Linked DNA regions of Saccharomyces cerevisiae S288C. Each later gene encodes a partner of the first gene's protein in a complex. Each region holds a gene or a part of one and is shown on either strand. Other genes may lie near its edges. A codon is read from its position in the direction of its gene.

What was found.
Region 2: DUO1 (region 1) and SPC19 share a complex: the UniProt entries of both Saccharomyces cerevisiae proteins name them as parts of the DASH complex.
Region 3: the proteins of DUO1 (region 1) and DAM1 are in contact, whole or in part, in a cryo-EM structure (PDB 8Q84), measured with the Saccharomyces cerevisiae proteins. Residues at the interface, in NP_011454.1 of Saccharomyces cerevisiae: Glu67 (codon at 2,646), Ile74 (codon at 2,667), Leu89 (codon at 2,712), Tyr92 (codon at 2,721), Val93 (codon at 2,724), Gln95 (codon at 2,730), Val96 (codon at 2,733), Val99 (codon at 2,742), Cys100 (codon at 2,745), Ser102 (codon at 2,751), Thr103 (codon at 2,754), Ile106 (codon at 2,763), Leu107 (codon at 2,766), Ser109 (codon at 2,772), Trp110 (codon at 2,775), Ile113 (codon at 2,784), Tyr119 (codon at 2,802), Lys122 (codon at 2,811), Leu123 (codon at 2,814), Asp126 (codon at 2,823), Tyr129 (codon at 2,832), Ile133 (codon at 2,844), Arg136 (codon at 2,853), Leu137 (codon at 2,856), Leu152 (codon at 2,901), Ile156 (codon at 2,913), Lys159 (codon at 2,922), Glu162 (codon at 2,931), Ile163 (codon at 2,934), Leu166 (codon at 2,943); in NP_011628.4 of Saccharomyces cerevisiae: Ile59 (codon at 1,358), Gln60 (codon at 1,355), Leu63 (codon at 1,346), Ile67 (codon at 1,334), Phe81 (codon at 1,292), His88 (codon at 1,271), Leu91 (codon at 1,262), Ala92 (codon at 1,259), Asn95 (codon at 1,250), Leu98 (codon at 1,241), Leu101 (codon at 1,232), Leu102 (codon at 1,229), Gln116 (codon at 1,187), Pro118 (codon at 1,181), Ile121 (codon at 1,172), Asp123 (codon at 1,166), Asp124 (codon at 1,163), Leu125 (codon at 1,160), Ala127 (codon at 1,154), Ile128 (codon at 1,151), Gln130 (codon at 1,145), Leu131 (codon at 1,142), Leu134 (codon at 1,133), Glu135 (codon at 1,130), Glu137 (codon at 1,124), Lys138 (codon at 1,121), Leu141 (codon at 1,112), Leu145 (codon at 1,100).
Region 4: DUO1 (region 1) and SPC34 share a complex: the UniProt entries of both Saccharomyces cerevisiae proteins name them as parts of the DASH complex.

Annotation. Positions count from the first base shown.
Region 1 is NC_001139.9:387,523-392,158, reverse strand, and holds DUO1 (Duo1p), read left to right. Parts: upstream 1-2,447; coding exon 2,448-3,191; downstream 3,192-4,636. Other genes in the region: YBP2 (Ybp2p), read right to left, coding at 169-2,094; PYC1 (pyruvate carboxylase 1), read right to left, coding at 3,427-4,636. UniProt on the Saccharomyces cerevisiae protein: Component of the DASH complex that connects microtubules with kinetochores and couples microtubule depolymerisation to chromosome movement; it is involved in retrieving kinetochores to the spindle poles before their re-orientation on the spindle in early mitosis and allows microtubule depolymerization to pull chromosomes apart and resist detachment during anaphase.
Region 2 is NC_001136.10:852,818-857,314, forward strand, and holds SPC19 (Spc19p), read left to right. Parts: upstream 1-3,499; coding exon 3,500-3,997; downstream 3,998-4,497. Other genes in the region: RKM2 (protein-lysine N-methyltransferase), read right to left, coding at 1-1,155; VPS64 (Vps64p), read right to left, coding at 1,462-3,276; RAV2 (Rav2p), read right to left, coding at 4,081-4,497. UniProt on the Saccharomyces cerevisiae protein: Component of the DASH complex that connects microtubules with kinetochores and couples microtubule depolymerisation to chromosome movement; it is involved in retrieving kinetochores to the spindle poles before their re-orientation on the spindle in early mitosis and allows microtubule depolymerization to pull chromosomes apart and resist detachment during anaphase.
Region 3 is NC_001139.9:717,228-720,424, reverse strand, and holds DAM1 (Dam1p), read right to left. Parts: upstream 1,533-3,197; coding exon 501-1,532; downstream 1-500. Other genes in the region: chromatin-remodeling histone chaperone SPT6, read right to left, coding at 1-16; cytochrome oxidase assembly protein SHY1, read right to left, coding at 1,898-3,067. UniProt on the Saccharomyces cerevisiae protein: Component of the DASH complex that connects microtubules with kinetochores and couples microtubule depolymerisation to chromosome movement; it is involved in retrieving kinetochores to the spindle poles before their re-orientation on the spindle in early mitosis and allows microtubule depolymerization to pull chromosomes apart and resist detachment during anaphase.
Region 4 is NC_001143.9:508,966-513,385, forward strand, and holds SPC34 (Spc34p), read right to left. Parts: upstream 2,833-4,420; coding exon 1,945-2,832; downstream 1-1,944. Other genes in the region: CAF4 (Caf4p), read right to left, coding at 1-1,668; KAE1 (tRNA N6-adenosine threonylcarbamoyltransferase), read right to left, coding at 3,034-4,194. UniProt on the Saccharomyces cerevisiae protein: Component of the DASH complex that connects microtubules with kinetochores and couples microtubule depolymerisation to chromosome movement; it is involved in retrieving kinetochores to the spindle poles before their re-orientation on the spindle in early mitosis and allows microtubule depolymerization to pull chromosomes apart and resist detachment during anaphase.

The DNA.
Region 1 (4,636 bases):
GTTCCAATGCAAGTATCCCATCCCTTCCCTTTTTATTCCTTGACGATCGGGCGATGAAATCTGAAAAAAATGAAAGTTTGGATGACTCAAAACATAGTGTTTCCCTTTAATAGAATAATTCGATTTACTCGGGAACAAAAGAGAAGAGCAACTAATTTACTATGTAGTTTACGAGCGTATGTTCATCTCTTCTATATATTCTCCCAGAGTATTATTGGAAATGTTGATGAATGCTAATTCAGGCTCACCTTCTCCTTGAAATGATTCGGAGATTTCTTTATTGATGAGTGTTAACAGACCCAAATCCCATTTGTTCCTTAAACTAACAAAAAATTTCATATATGTTAGTACCAAGAGTAAATCACCTTGCGTTCTTTTCTTTTGCTTGGCGGCAGAAAAACATATTAAAGCAATGCTATGAATGGAAGCCATGCGATCTTCATTAATAGTGATGTAAGGTCTTGGAGGTAGAGTTGGCATTATCGGTACACTATTAGCGGTATTCCCAGGATTCTGTTGTTCGATTAAACCGACAGTTTCGTCACGATTAGCAGCCTCAGGAGATCTAATCATCATATCTCTTAGAATGTCAAGAACAGCAATCTTTGCAGTTATATATGGACAATGTAGTAGAGTTTCAAAGATGAACGTAAAAGATGTGCTTTCGGGCATGAGATAGAGTAACCTCCTCAGAAGAGTAATTTCGGTCAACTTAGTGTCGTTATTAGATTCATTGCAAGTTTTCATCAGTAACATCTGCAAAAAGGCCGTGGTAATGTGCCCTGGAAGTTCTTGTAAGGCACACTTTATTTTCTCTGTGGAAGTCTCGGTTGTGGATACCCATAGCCAGTAGCGTACTGAACTTTCCAAAAACTTATTTTCGTATATTTCTGAAAATAAAGAAGCTGTCGTACACCGTAGATAGAGGTAAATTGCGCTTTGGATATCAATTTGCGGCAATAAGTGAGTACCATTTTTAGAATAATGTATTGCAGATAGAATCACAACTCCATATTGGTCCAGCTCTAAGTTCTTTTCGTCAGCTAGTTTCTTGATTTGATATGCGTAAGATACCTCATATACTAGTTGGTTAATTTCTTCTTTGAATTCGGGCGTGGAAGCGGCCGGGTTCATGAGAAGAGAGTTATAGATGCTTCTTGATTCTACCAGGCACTTTTCTAAAAGTTCTTTCATGTGGACATCCAATGATGTGACATACTCGTAGTATTGGTGGCATATCTGTAAAACTGAAGCATCGATTTCATTTTCATCTGTTTTTTTATGCATCAATGTTTTGAAATATATCTTGTCAATATTACCTGGATGATTTTTTAGGCAGTTGCTAATCACGAATACGCTCAGATTAGCCAGTAGTTTTTTCTGTAAGGCAGATTCATCATCATGAATTTTTTCAAGATCGTTTGTACTAATACCATCGGTCAGACTAGCAGATGGTTGAGCTGGAGAGTAATTAGTACAAAAATTGTACACTATGCGCAAAATAAAGTGTGGATCATCCATAGCCTGAACGTTGGTTGTTACATACTTAATAATTGCAGAAGTTACCATGGCTAGAAATTTAGATGGATATAAAGTGTCCACACGTTTCAACAATAAACTCATAAATTCAAAGAGAACGTAAATTTTCAAATTTGGAATGAATTCTACTGTATTTTTGGCCATATAGTGCCCAATCTCCGGAGTGATAACTGACAGCTCATCAGTAATGTTTGACGCATCATTTCTATTGGAGTCATTTAAATCTTCATTCTCTTCATCGGAGTCGCCAGTTTCAGTTAAGACTATATGGAGTGTTGACACCAATTCGCAAGCGGTCAACAAGCATTCTTTCGGATTTCCATTGATGGCTAGCTCATTGAAGCATTCCATCACACTAGAAACAAGGGGACTAAAAACTAGATGTATATTGACATTGATGTTTTTGCGTGAGAAAAACTGCAATAAACCCTTTGGCAGATCCCAGCCAATTTCCTTTAAGGTAACTGGATTATCCTTAAGTATTTTCAATAGGGCATCCAAATAACGTTCCTTTTCTTTTATAGACTTTCCAGAGTTCACCTGCTCGTTGTACATATCAATGATTGTTACAAGTGAGACAAAATCATCCTTCTCCTCTTGGAAAGCCCTGACAAGGCTTTTACAAATTGTTTCAATTGACTCACCCATACTTTCTGAGCCCTTCCTCTTGACGGTGAGTTCTTTTAGCCTTTTAGACCCAGGATAATATGTATTTTCCTTTATTCTTAGATGAGAGGTTTTTGGACCTCAGCGCAAGTTAGTTTCACAGCGAAACGAAGGAAAAAAGAATAATAATTACAAACAAACGCCAAAATCAAACGCGATAAAGAAAGATAGGCTAAGTAATCTGGACTGGTGACTCAAGTATTACTAAAGAAGATAATTTGAAACTTGAACAAGTCTTCAATATGAGTGAGCAAAGCCAATTAGATGATTCGACTATAGACAAACTGATTCCACAGATTTTCAATGAGATGAGATCTAACCTCAATAACACGACCAATAAATTTCCAAAAAGCACAGGAGGTGGAGCAAGCGATAATATTTCGGCTAACAGCAATTCTATAAGATCGTTTAATTCAATCACAACGCAATCCTTACTCAAAGAATCAGAATCGTTAGATAAAATAACAGCAATGATAAAAAATGTTACGGCCGCATTAAAAAATAACTTGCCAGTATACGTTAATCAAGTACATGAGGTATGTAAATCTACGAATTCCATTTTAGATTCATGGATCAACATTCATTCTCAAGCTGGTTATATTCATAAATTGATGAGCGATCAAACCTATTTAAAGCTAATTAATGATAGACTGCACAATGAAAATGTAAACACAAATGATGAAGATGGGAGTACTTTACACAACGTGATAGCGTTGAAAAAGAAGGAGATCTTGGATTTGAGACAAAAATTAGAAAATAGGAAGGGTGAAAAGGATGCTGCACCAGCAAAGCCACCAAATCAAGGCTTAAATCCAAGGTACGGTGTGCAATCTGGTAGAAGGCCCGTTCCTTCGGCAGGAATTTCAAATAACGGAAGAGTAAGAAAGACCCATGTTCCTGCCTCGAAAAGACCTAGTGGTATACCAAGAGTAACTAACAGGTGGACTAAGCCCACTGCTAGCAGCTCAAGGAAGATGTTTCGCTAAAAGATGCTTTCGGGAATGTATCTAGGATTTATTGTATATGGAATTTAAATCGAAATAGTAGATAAATTAATGATGAAAAAAGGACACGTTAATTGGATGCGTTAAATTATTATTTTTTTTTTTATTTAACTTTTGTTCCTAATTATGTATTAGTATTTACTGGTCGTCAAAAAATAGGAAAGGTAAATAAATAAGATTCGGGTATATTATACATTATAAATGAGAACTAACCGGTTCATGCCTTAGTTTCAACAGGAACTTGGTCTTCTAATAGAACTAATAAATCAGAAGAGTCCACATTTTCACCATCAGAGACAAACACTTCTTTAACTTGTCCATCGGATGGAGAAGATATAATCATTTCCATTTTCATGGCGCTTAATACGGCTACAGGTTGGCCCTTCTTTATTAGTGATCCTTTATGAACTTTAACTTCAACAATGACACCTGCCATTGGTGCACCAATGTGTAATGGATCATGCATGTCTGCTTTGGATTTAGTAACAGTTTCCACTTTTTGTGATCTGTCAGCAACACGAATTTTTCTCATTTCACCATTCAAATCAAAGTAAACTTCTCTTTCACCGGTCTTTTTGTTCAAATCACCCACAGCCTGTAGCTTGATAATTAGCGTTTTACCTTGTTCGATTACAACTTCAATTTCTTCGTCAGTCTCTAGTGGAGACAAAAAGCTTCTTGTTGGCAATACAGATAAATCACCATACGTTTCTCTCATCTTTTGGAAGTCTTCATAAACTCTTGGGTACATGTTATAAGAAGCAACGTCGCACTCATCAACATCACCAAATCTATTCTGCAAGTCTTCTCTAATTTTTTCGAGATCAAATGGCTCTAGTTCCAGGCCTGGACGACAAGTCAACTTTCTTCTCTTGTTCCTTAAAACGTCTGATCTAAATGGTTCTGGGAACCCACCATATGGTTGGCCGATTAAGCCTTCGAAGAAATCCATAACAGAGTCAGGGAAATCCAAAGAATTAGCCAGGCGTCTCACATCATCGGAAGTTAATTTATTGGAGACCATAAATTGTGCCAGATCACCAACGACCTTCGAAGTTGGGGTAACTTTGACAATATCACCCAATAAATAATTGGCTTCTCTGTAAGCTCTTTTTGTTTCGGCCCATTGTTCTCCAAGACCCAATTGTTGGGCTTGAAACAACAAGTTTGTCAATTGACCACCTGGGATTTCATGTTGATAAACTTCTGGATCTGGGCCCTTCAAGTCAGCCTCGAAACAAGAGTATAACAATCTCATCTCTGCCCAATATGCATCTAGTTCACGGACATGCTCAACGTTAATACCAGTGTCAATATTACCTTCTAATGAAGCCAACAGAGCATTGATTGATGGTTGTGAAGTTAAACCAGACATTGAGTTGATGGCAACATCAACGACATCGGCGCCCGCCAGAGCACACGCAGTC
Region 2 (4,497 bases), on another chromosome or scaffold:
GATATCAGTCTCATTGATAGTGTAATCTCCCCAATAATCATGTTCCAATAGAAACGTTTTTACCTCCTTTTTGTCGTCGTCTATTAGTTCAATAATTTCGTCAGATATGTCTAAGTAGTTCCATTTGTTTCCGTCTACCACAAATCCATACTCGTTCAGTAAAAAATCATTTGAGTGTGCACCATAATTCAAAAAGAGCTCCTCGTTAATGTTGTCATAGAGGTGATCGCCGCATCTAATGGTAAATTGTCCAATTCCAATGATGTTTTCTCCTTCTGACCTCAACTGAGGACTTAACTGAGGATAGCAGTGCAAATCCGACTCACAAATGTGGTTCATGAAATCGACATACGGCACTAAAGTGAAATTGCTTGGGGAGTCCTCTATTTTCAACGGAATCTTCGCATAAAGACATCTTGAGTTTATAATAAAATAAACATGTACAAAAAGGGAGAATAACTCATCACTAGTAAATTTATCAGAATTTTTCGTACAGCTTAAGGAGCCGTAAATTTCATTCCATTTCAAAACCACCTCTGAAATGGTTTCCCAATCTTCTCTGACAAGGCCACTAATTCTTGCCATATGCTTTCGTGAGGCAGCAGGGAGATATTCAATCAGTGAATGGTAACGTGAATTGGGATCACAGTTCCAAATGGCTGGGATTGATCGCAGCTCCTCCATTGAGGGCCATACATCAAAGAATGGTTTCCAATCTGAGTAGATTTCATTGTGAGTCCATTTTGGCAATAGAAAATTTTCAACCAATATATAAAATGATACCAATTGAAATGATGATAAACTTAACAAAAACTCTTTCGATAATTCGGAATATAATCCATATCTAGGATCGGCCCAGGCTTTATTTTCCGCTTCAATAATATTGTCCTCATAATTGATTGGCTTTCTATCGATTGTGATACCAGGAATATTCAGCTCTTTATTAAACTTTGAAATATGATAGAGGATAGTGTGAAAATTTAGTTGCTTCGAGCTCGGTACTGATACAATGATATCGTTTTTTCTTATCGAACCGTGACTGAGGACGATCCCTCTGCCAGTTTCTGGCGATTCACAGATGCTGATGTTTGGTGCTATATAAAACTTATCTGATTTTTTCAGCCATGTTAGCAAGACATCAACCTTTCCTTCCATTCGCAATTTACTATGTAACTTTTTTGTAGATATTTATTCAAAATCTGTATCTTCGACAATCTTGAGACTATAGGTGATGAGTAGACGCATCCAGTTTTAGCTTGAGTTCCCGAATTTTTTTTTAATTTTACTTAATCAAGAAATCTTGAAAAAATGAAAAAAAAGAGTGTGGATCAGAATTGCAAAACAATATTCAAAGTATATGGAATATGTGCTTATTTATAATATATGGTTTTTCTCATTTCTACAGGACAAGCCCTGTTTTTGCTTTGTAGATTATGCTTGTAGTATTTTTCTTCTTTCGAGTTATTGTGGCAATTGCTTAACGGCCGTCGCAACTAAACCGAATGAAATGGCAACTACTCCAAAGAGCATTCCCTTACTAACTCTTGTTCTCTTGCCTTCGACGACTCCTAGTTCTTCAGTGCTTATTAATGTATCTTCGGTATCCTTTTTTTCTTCTCTTGAATCATTTTGTTTTACTTTAGCGTTATTGTCATTGTTAATACCACCATTAAAATTGCTTTGTGTTAAAACTAAATTTTTTCCCCTCTCTTCTTCTATTTGAAGGTTCAGCTCTCTTAATTCACTTTCGAGCTCCTGTAGCTTTTCATGGTTTTGTTTTTCCTTCAAGCTACATGCAGATTTTACTTTATTATTTTGTTGTTTGATTTCTTTTAATTGATCTTCCGATTCTTTGAGTAGCGCATCATTATTTTCTGATAGAGTTTTTTGTAAAGCCGTGCTCAGTTTCAGTAAATGCTTTTCATTCATATCAATCATGTGCTTATTGATGAAATCAAGGTTTATCGTATAGTTTTGCATAAAGTTTTGCATGGAATGTAATTTTTCCAGCTCTTGTTTTTCTAAGGACAGCTCAGTAGTCAAAGTTTTTATCATATTTATCAAATTTATGCTTGTACCTGCTGAATTGTTGATAAAAATTCCACTGAGAACCTCAGTTTCTGGACCTAAAATATCATCATCTAATTCTGAGTTATTAATATCTCCAAACATAGCTGCCTCAAAGGCTGCCCTTTGAGCCGTTGTTGCAGATGTTACACCAGCTTCGGTATAATTTTCCTTTAAATGAGATCGTATTGGAATGTGTTGATTATGATGACCTCTGTCTATCTTTATTCCGTTTATATTAGTGGAGTTCCCATTATTCTTATTAGTATGATCTTGTTTTTTCATCACCAAATTTGTGGGATCAGATACAGTGTTCATTAAGGGAATTACTGAAATCTCTTCCACATACGCACTGATTTTTCTATGTTCAAACTTTGAGTCAATATCAGTTCCCAAATCCACAGTATCACCAACTTTTAATTCTACATCATTTTGGCGTATTTTAACCCCATTAACAAATGTCCCATTGCTGGACTTTAGATCGCGAATATATATCTTTCCTGATGTAGGATCACAACTGAGACAAGCGTGATTTCTGGAAAGAACTCTTGAGTCAAAATTTCCGTTATCTGGTCTAACTTGTTGCGAAAATAAATCTCTTTTCGATCCTGAATTATTCTTGTTTACGCTATTGGTAACTGGTCGACCTAATTTAAGTCCGTCAGGTTTAAATGGTACAACAAGAAACTTGGTCTCAAAAGTTGCATTTAAGGATTTGAGTATAATAATATGTGTATGCTTCTTACGGGGTGATCCAGTTCTAAATAATGTCTCAGTTGAACCATTTTGGAATTTCGATAATTCGTCCAGTGCCGGTGGAGATACGGCTTCTACAGGAATTGTTACTTGTCCAGCCGGTGTTGGGTCTATTGAATTGTCATTTTGATCCTGACTTTGATTTTCAAATGGAGAACGGATTTTGTTGGCTAATATTGGGGATAATTGTTGCTGTTGTGAAACTTGATGGACGGAAGGTGGAGATGAAGCGGTAGGCAACAAATCTAAGCCTGGTGGTATGGTATACTGATCTATATCGACATTTGAACGGGATCCACTGCTTCTCGAGTTTGATCTAGCTCTTCCCATGGGCCTCTTAGGCGGTGACGTTTCTGGCGTCTTTGTCATTCCCTGCGAATTCGATTGATCCCTAACATAGGGAGAATGTTGCAGTTGCGGAGGGGGCCGTCTTCTTTTTTCCAGTTCTACCATGCCAAGAATTTACAGTTGTCTTCCTTCCTTCTAATTTCCAGTTGGTGAGACTGGTGACTATCCGTGGGGTCCGGATTGCGATTTACTTTCATTATGTATTTATTATTGGCGATTATAAAGTTTGTTTTCACAGGGCGTAGTAGTTAGCAACAATGAAAATGAATAATAAACAGATCACAGACGCATATATCTGTGTACGAATTGAAGGATAGGCAAAATAACCATGACAGATGCTTTGGAACAGAGCGTCCTTGCGTTGGAGGGAACAGTTTCAGTATTGAAGGATTCTGTGGAGTCTTTAAAATGTGCAAATGAGCCAAGCACGAACCTTGCATCGACAATGTTGCAAACCAAAAGGGTTTTCCGTTTAGTTCCCGAATATGATGTTGAAAGATCAAAATTAGATTTGATTGAAGAGGTAGAACCGCTGGTTAGGACTCTGGGCGATAAGTTACGTAAATCTATGGGTAGAATGCAAAGGGAACTCGATACTTTGCAGCAAACTTATGAATTAAACGATTTAAGGCTAAAGAAGAACATTAGTATGGATGACGATGATGCTCTGAATAGTCCAGACATGGGTCAAGAATACGAAGGCAGAGACGCGGACGACGTGGTTATGATGGCATCTTCTACTAATGAGGAATTGGAAGAATTGAAGAAACTAAAGGAAAAGAAGAAGCAACTGGAGAATAAGTTGGAAATACTCAAACAGAAATAGTTAGAAGTTTATTTTTTAAAGCATCCATTTATCTCTTTATCCAGTTTGTATTATAAATTATTGTTAATGTTATCGCTAGTAGATTACTTATATGTACTTAACTGTTTGCTAGCTACCAAATTTGCTTGATGGTTCGCCATCGAAGCTTTGAGACTGTTCAATTTGGCGCTTATACTGATCAAAGTTGGATCACTTGTAGATACTATTAACTTTTCACATTCCATGACTACCCTATTATCGAAAGTAACGCCCCTTCTTAATAATTCCTGAGCTTCTGGAAGTGTTATAGCTTCACTTTGAAAAGAAGAAATTATGTGGTTAAGTAATGTGGAATCCTGGACTTGTACACCGTTTTCTGAGAGGATCTTAGATAAAGTTTTGTTTCTTTCATTTGTCACTTGATTTCTTATTTGGTCGCAAAATGACCTGCCAGTTTTACTATCAATCTCGCACCAAGGTTTTTTAGTCACCTTAATTAGATTTCGTAGTTCTATGCAAAG
Region 3 (3,197 bases), 330 kb from region 1:
CTCCCGTCTCTTCCATAAAAGGCAAATTCTATGTAAAGATTCTAGGCAATTAATGACCTGTTCGCTTGGGTTATTCTTCAAAGCACAAATCAATATCTTTCTTCCTCCTTTTGCTTTAACCGTTGTCCAGTTTCTTGTCAATTTGGTTTGCCATACATAACGAAAAAAAAATGACAGTTATAGAAAATATTACCCGAATTTTCCCGCACTTTTATTGAAGACGTTATATAAAGGGGTACTAACTAATTTAAAAATCATTCATGACTCGCATAGTGGCACAGTAATAGCCTCGACCGCCTGTCCGTATCTTCTTTTATATAGATATATCATGTTTCGTTGTAATGCGGGTTGTGCCCATGCACTGCTGATATGTGTACTGCCTTCCTCCCTATTGCTATAAAGAATCAGTCAGCTCATCAAATATTCTTCTTATCCATAACTCACGCATGCTAGCGATATATTTTGTGAGGAGGATAATTCTTTGGTTGGGTTGGGCGTAGTCATCTGAAGGGGGGCCTTGTATTTATTTTTTTTTCAGTTTTCTTTGCAACAGAATGTCTGCTTTCTGTGGGTTTCCTTTCAGCACGTCCTGAGAACATTGAATTTCTGTTCTTCGTAACGGGCCCATTGACCACTCTTGCAGCACCACTTCCGAGTGATATTCGATTATTTGGATGCAGATCTCCCAAATTAACAACATTGTCGTTTTCGATGGGTAAATCAGCGCCGGAAGCAATGCTATTTCTGATTGTATGTAAGATGGACTTTCTTCTCAGTTTACTGTTGGTATTATTATTCAAACGCGTGGTTTTAGTCACGTGACCTTGAGATGATTTGGACATACCGATATTTGTTGGATTTAGAACAAAAGAAGCTTCACTACTAGTATCGTCTTCATAGTCCTCCTCATTCTCTACTTGTAAGTTGTTGCCTATCTTGGAGGGCTTCCTCTTGTCTCTGTTGTCATATGACCTGTATTTTCTTACTTGTGAGGAGGGAAATAGCGGCTGGTTAAACTGTTTGTTCTGAGATGCCTTGGCCAAATCATTTTCACCTTGTTCGTCTTTTTTTCTTTTAATCCCGCGTTCCATATTGGAGAGTTCCATTACTAAGTTATTTTTCTCATCTTCCAACGATTTCAATTGTTTAATAGCGATCAAATCGTCTTGAATATCATGAGGCGCCTGTGAGAATTCTACGCACCATGAATTGCTCATAATACCGTACAACAACGAACCTAGGGATTCATTAAGATCAGCTAAACTCTCGTGGATAAAATTTAAGCGCGTGAAATTGGAATCTAAAGTAATGATTGAATCGCTCAGTTCTCTTATTTTAGGCAACAGAAGCTGTTGTATGGTATTCTCGTTATATTCGCCAACGGAACTCGTTAATCCCTCTTGATCAGCAAATTTCATCAGGGATGAGGATTCACCCATAGACGACCTTCTTGAAGTCGGAGCGCTACCAATGGATAAACGATATTCCGTGGCAGACCTTGTGGTCCCTAATTTAGCTTTATCTTCGCTCATAGGTGAAAGTGGCAATACAAGCCTTTTCTGATATTGTTTTGGTGCAATTGCTGAGCTTATACGCTCCAAGTTTCAGTGCAATTGGACAAGTTTAACGCCAAAGGATTCATGCGTCGATAAAACATGTTTGTTTTGGCTATTATTTATCGATATTGTCCGGGCAACGCGCAATGTTCATATCTTGAGCGGCACATAAGGTATATGGATAAAAAGGTGTTAGTTATGTACAAGTTTAAATTATGTAAATGTGCCATATCCGAATCATTGTAGTTGCAAAACTAATGTGGAAAACCGTTTAGGCAGTGCTCGTGAAATTACGCGCTTCTTGGATAGAGTTCGATAGTATGGGCAGAGGAGTTTGCCGTTTACATATATTTCCTTGAATGCTTCAGTTTCTCTTTCATTAGTTGGTCTTGGGACACAACGCCCCCTCTTTTCGCCTTCCTAAGAGCCACAATGAGGAAGATTGTGCTCAAAAACGAAAGGCCATACCACGTTACCAAATATTGTAGATGGTTATTCTTTAAATCAATAGTGGGCTTCCGGCCTATGGGAACACCTGCTTTGATAAACTGTCGTTCATCGAATTCAATTGTTTGGTCTGTCGGCATTTCCTGCCTAGAACGAGGCTTCGATGTATTATTATCAACAGCTTGCGTTCCGTTTACAGCAGTCGTAGGTTCTCGTTTCCAGAACTTCCACAGGCTAGAGGTGGAATTGTTTTGTGAAGCCTCGTTTCTTGTGTGTTCCTCGATTATTGGATGGTCCTTCATGTCATACAAGGCTTGAAATTGAATGGGCGTGCACCCTGATGATCTTGCCATGTCATATATGTCTGGCACCTGCCACAATCTAGAATTTGGATCCTTTTTCGCCCATTGTAGCGAGCCTCTTTTCTTTGGAGGTCTTACTAAGCAAACCACTTTCAAGTGTTCTTCTTGAGGCAACGACAAATGGTGTAAATTTCTTGAGTCAGGAGCAACTTTTTCTTCACTTATCCACCCTCTTTCTATCAGAACTTTCTCACCGGTGTCATCTCTAATGAACGGTGTAAACAGAAAATAACCCTTTTCTCCATTTTTCTTTCTTGGACCAACAAACATCTCTTCATTGTGAAGGAAGTGTCCGGTAAGTATAACTTTACGGTATTCCCAATCCTCGCACATGTCAGGTGTAAATGACTTAGGAAGTGGTATTGGTTCATAAGTAAGTTTAGTTTCGCATGCCGCAATCAGCTTGGTTTTCCACTTCAATCTCCTTACTTGCCAAGTTCCCAAATAGAAGGATATTATTGGCATCGCGAACATCAGACCCAGAACAATTTTCTTGCCAAAGGATCTTTCTCTTCGAGAATCATCATTTGGGCTCTTACCTGTCTTGATTGGTTTCCAGTCTACAGTTGACGTTATGATGCCTCGGTACTGTTGATTTCTTGAAGCTAAGAGGTACGTGGATTTGCCAATAGCATTCTTAGTCGGAATTGATGCAGCGATTGAAAACCAACGGTAAGTGGACCTGGCGCCTAGTAGAGACATTGCTTTCCTCTTTTATTAAATCCTGAGTATGGGTTACTGAATGCAAAACGGTTAAGATGGCCCTCTGTTTTCAGTAGTCGGCGTTATAGGTGAAAAATATTTCATCATTGCATAAGAATCCCTTAAATAT
Region 4 (4,420 bases), on another chromosome or scaffold:
CAAATCCCAAATCCTTACGCTATTGTCCATCGAGCCTGTTACCAATTTTTCGGAATCAAACTTCAAACTTGTAATTCCATCGGTATGGCCTTCTAGTAATCTCACCGGTTTGCCAACTCTTAGATCCCATAGTCGCACAATGCCATCTTTTGTTCCTGTTGCTAATGCAGAGTTGTAACATTGGAGGGCTCCTATCATTGGTGCTTCTGTGCCAAGTAAACATGCACCATTGTTTAATGAACGTGCAGGCATTTTAATGTCGCTATGTGTAGGTGTGAAGATAAGGTCAAGTTGCTGAATACATTTGCCCGTCGTTAAATCCCAGTGGAATATTTTTTTGTCCCTAGATCCGCTAACCAAAGCTTCAGAATCAAAAGACAGGGCTGTGATTTCGTCTTTATGTAACTCAAAATTATGGATACATGGTGTAACAATTTCTTCTGTCTTCTCCTTCAATGGACTATGGTCCAAATATATTTCTCTACTCAGATTTAAGTCCCATAACTTCAGAGTGGCATCCTTACTTCCAGTAATCAACATATTGTAATTTTTCTTATCTATTTGCATGCAATTAACAGTAGCAAGGTGACCAGGCAGCTCTCCAACTTGTATCCCATGGTTCAAATCCCACACTTTTACTATACGATCTTGGTAGCTTGATGAGCACAAGGTTCCCCATGGTGTATCAAAGTCTAATGCGGTTATGCTGTTTCCATGTTCGCCATGGGGTATTGTCATTCTGAAAGCCGTGGTATTTCGGCTATATGTTTCTGAGATAATTTGCCTGTTTTTATCGTGGCTTTTTTCATGGGGCATCTTGTAAAAATCTTTTAATCTCGTATCCTTACTTTCAACATCACATAACGACGATATGGCTTCTTCATTTTGCGTGAAGGACGACGCTTCAGATGATCTTTCTTCTTCCATTTGCTTCCGTAAGCTCTGTTCACGATCAGCTTCCAAATTGTATTCCTCGATAAAATTTATTCTATCCTTTATCAGTGTTACATCATTCTCAAGATTGGTAGACTTACTATCAATGTGCTTAACCCTTTCCAGGATTTTTAATTTCCTGGATTCTAGTTCGTTGATCATGGAATCTAATCTGGTCAACTCATCCATCTCTAACGTTTTATTGATTGACAGATTTTCCACGTTAGTTTCTACATCCTCAAGTAAATGTGTTAGGTCAATTCTAGAGTACGTTTTATTCACAAAACCAGTATTAATATCCGGCAATTGAACGTATTTTTCCTTATCACTATTCGTGGCCCCGTCTACATTGTCTAACAACAGTCTCTGTTGAATGATGGAAACGGTAGCTTTGAATCCTTCAAATAAAGAAGGTAAATTCTTTTCAGCGGCACCGTTGGGTAGCGGGTATCGCTGCTCATCTAAATGAGCAAGTATTCTGAAAGTTGTTGCAGAGTCTGCATAATTGTTTTGAAAGGAAAATATCCCTACTTGTCCTTTCTGGGTATCTTTTGTACTTTCGGGCCAAGCCACCTCTCTGAACAGTAGAAGTTTGGAAAGATATCTGTAGATGGGGCTCGTTATATATTTTTGAAATTGTTGTTGCGCTAGTATGGCATGTGGTAGCTTATTAAGTATAATTTCGATTGGTTTAGCTACCAGAGAGCTTTCTCCTCTAGTATCGCCCGAACCCATATAGAGATACTCTTTTTTACTCTCGCTCGTGGTAATCTTATATGTCATTCATGGTTAGTTTTTTTTTTATGACTATTTTTTTTTTCCATTACGATGAGGAAAGTTTATGTGAGAAACATGAAGCTACATGCTTTAACAGGAGACAGACCCATGGTGGATCCGCTCAGTTGGTTTTATACATTTAGATGTAAGGTAATACATAATTATATGATTTGCAGTGGCCTATGTATGCAATTAGGACAAAGGAAATATCTATTCTTGAGGAGAAGTGCTCCCCTACTCTTGCAAGTTGGCTATCTCCATTTCTAGCCGCCTAATTTCATCTTTTTCTTTTCGAATAATCTTAGCAACGTCGTGAGAAGAAGAAGGATGGTACTGTGACATAGTCTTTAAGCGATCATCTTGAAGCAAAACTTCTTTCTTGATGAAGCGCAATTTGGAAGAAAGTTGTTCATAATTATGGTACAATTGGTCGTAATCCTGCTTGAACTCTGTTAGTGGCCATAAATCTGTTACTTCGGCCATAACTTTAAGAATTAAATCAGTAGGGAAATCCTCGACAAAGATGGTTTTTCTTCTTTGGTTATTGGATTCTTCTTCCATGAGCACGCTTCCATTTTCCAAGGCATATAGGAGCCTTTGAATTTGCGGATCATCCTTGAACACGGCTGATAATGCTTTGAATGTACCTGAACTTGAATTTGAAATGACAGAGGATCCTATAAGATCGGTATCAAAAATAAAACCGTTCAAGCCACCGCCACTTGTAGTGGCGGTTCTTCTCCTTTTATTGTTCAAATCAAGACGATCTTTGTTCAAATATACTTCCTTGGGCACATGGATGATCGGTTTTTCCCCTGGTCTGCCCAGCCTTCTATTTCTTTTCATGTCCGTATCTCGTTTAATAACATAGTCGAATACTCCCTCCTTGCCGTCTCTACGTGAAACGGATTGTTTCTCAGGGTTGACTTTGAACAGAAGATACGCCTCGTCGTGGTTACAGTCCTTTATTAGTCTAGTAATGTCTTTTCTAATGCTTGCCTTGTTGCTTGCTCCCTGTAGGATGGCATTATGAAAAATTCCTGGTGGCTTGAAATAGAGTGTGGACATAGAGTCCACCGCCCTATTAATATCATCTATACATCTATCCAAGCTTTCCCCCATTCTGTAATTGCCACGTCTTATTTTGTTAGGTGATGATCTAATTTTTTTGAGCTTTGTTTATTGATTATTTTCAAATGTCTCTTGCTTATTTTCGCGCTTCCACAAGGTTATACACTGAGCTGTAAATGTAAGGTGTATGGCATATATAAATATATATATATATTCGTAGTGTGAACATTAGGCTAACTGTAACAAAAATCGTTAATCACGCCAGGCTGCGTATACTTCATCGGTTCTGAATTTCTGCGTAACAACAGTTTCAGAAAAGTCCTTCACGATCCCACCCATTCTATACTCTAGTAGTCCTGCTTGGGCAATCATAACTCCGTTATCGATACAAAACCTATTATCTGTAGCATGTACTTGCCCATTGGCCCTGTCTTTACACATTTGCGCCATCATTTCTTGTAATCGCACGTTACAACCAACACCGCCTACGATCAAAACTTGATTGGAGTTAACGTGAGCCATAGCTCTTTCTGTTATTTCAACTAGCATGGCGAATAGGTTCTCTTGCAGAGAGTAGCAAAGATCCTCTACAGTGACTTTTTGCTCGCCCGTTGTCTTGTCGAATAGGATCTTATTTTTCTTATTGCCCTTAAATAGATCCTTGGCAAGTAAATCGATGGAAGCCAATATACCACTCATCGAAAGATCCATCCCCTTTACTGTATAGGGAAGTTCTACCAAGTTTTCTTTGTGAGGGGCTTTTTTAGCTAACTGCTCGATGTTGTAGCCAGGCGAGGGCTCATTAGGTATCTTCAGAGTTCTTGCAAATCTATCAAGACAATTACCGATAGCAATATCAAGCGTTTCACCAAAGATACGGTACCTTTTTTCCGAGTATGCAATAACTTGTGTATTTCCACCACTTACATACAGTACCACAGGATTTTGAGCTTTAGTGATTTCTCTCCCCATTTCGATGTGACCAATGCAGTGGTTTACTCCCACCAGTGGCACGTCCCACAGTAAGGAGCACGTTCTGGCGGCGATGACAACTGAATGCAGAGGGGCCCCCATGCCGGGACCTTTGGTAAAGCAAATTACATCAATGTCTAGTGTCGGGCTTTTGATGTCAGCTTCGGCCAGTGCTTGTTTTATGAGTCTTATGCACCAATTTCTGTGATGCCTTGCCGTGTCTCGAGGCAAAAATCCCTCCCCAGGAGGTGTGACATATGTGTCTCTAATATTAGAAAGCATCTCAGCTTCGCAATCATAAGATAGATCGCTGTTGGCATGTTTAGGCAGAAGCGGATGCTTAACTATACCAACGCCCAGTTTATTTGCAGAACCTTCAAGTCCAAGCGCAATGTAGTAGTCCCTGCCATTTTTGGGTGGGATAGTGTTCAAGTTGACCATTTTGCTCCCGACTGCATTAGGGAACGCTTGGGAATTCCCTTCACGTAAAAGATAAATATATGCATCGTTGCACGAAGTAAAAATGGTTACTCTCGAACTCATCATAATGAAAGAATTCAGTTTTTCCGTATAAAGCGATATTACAGGAGGAATAAAAAGCAAAATAAAAAATCTCCGCGACGGGGAATTGAACCCCGATCTGGCACGCGACAAGCGCCCATTCTGA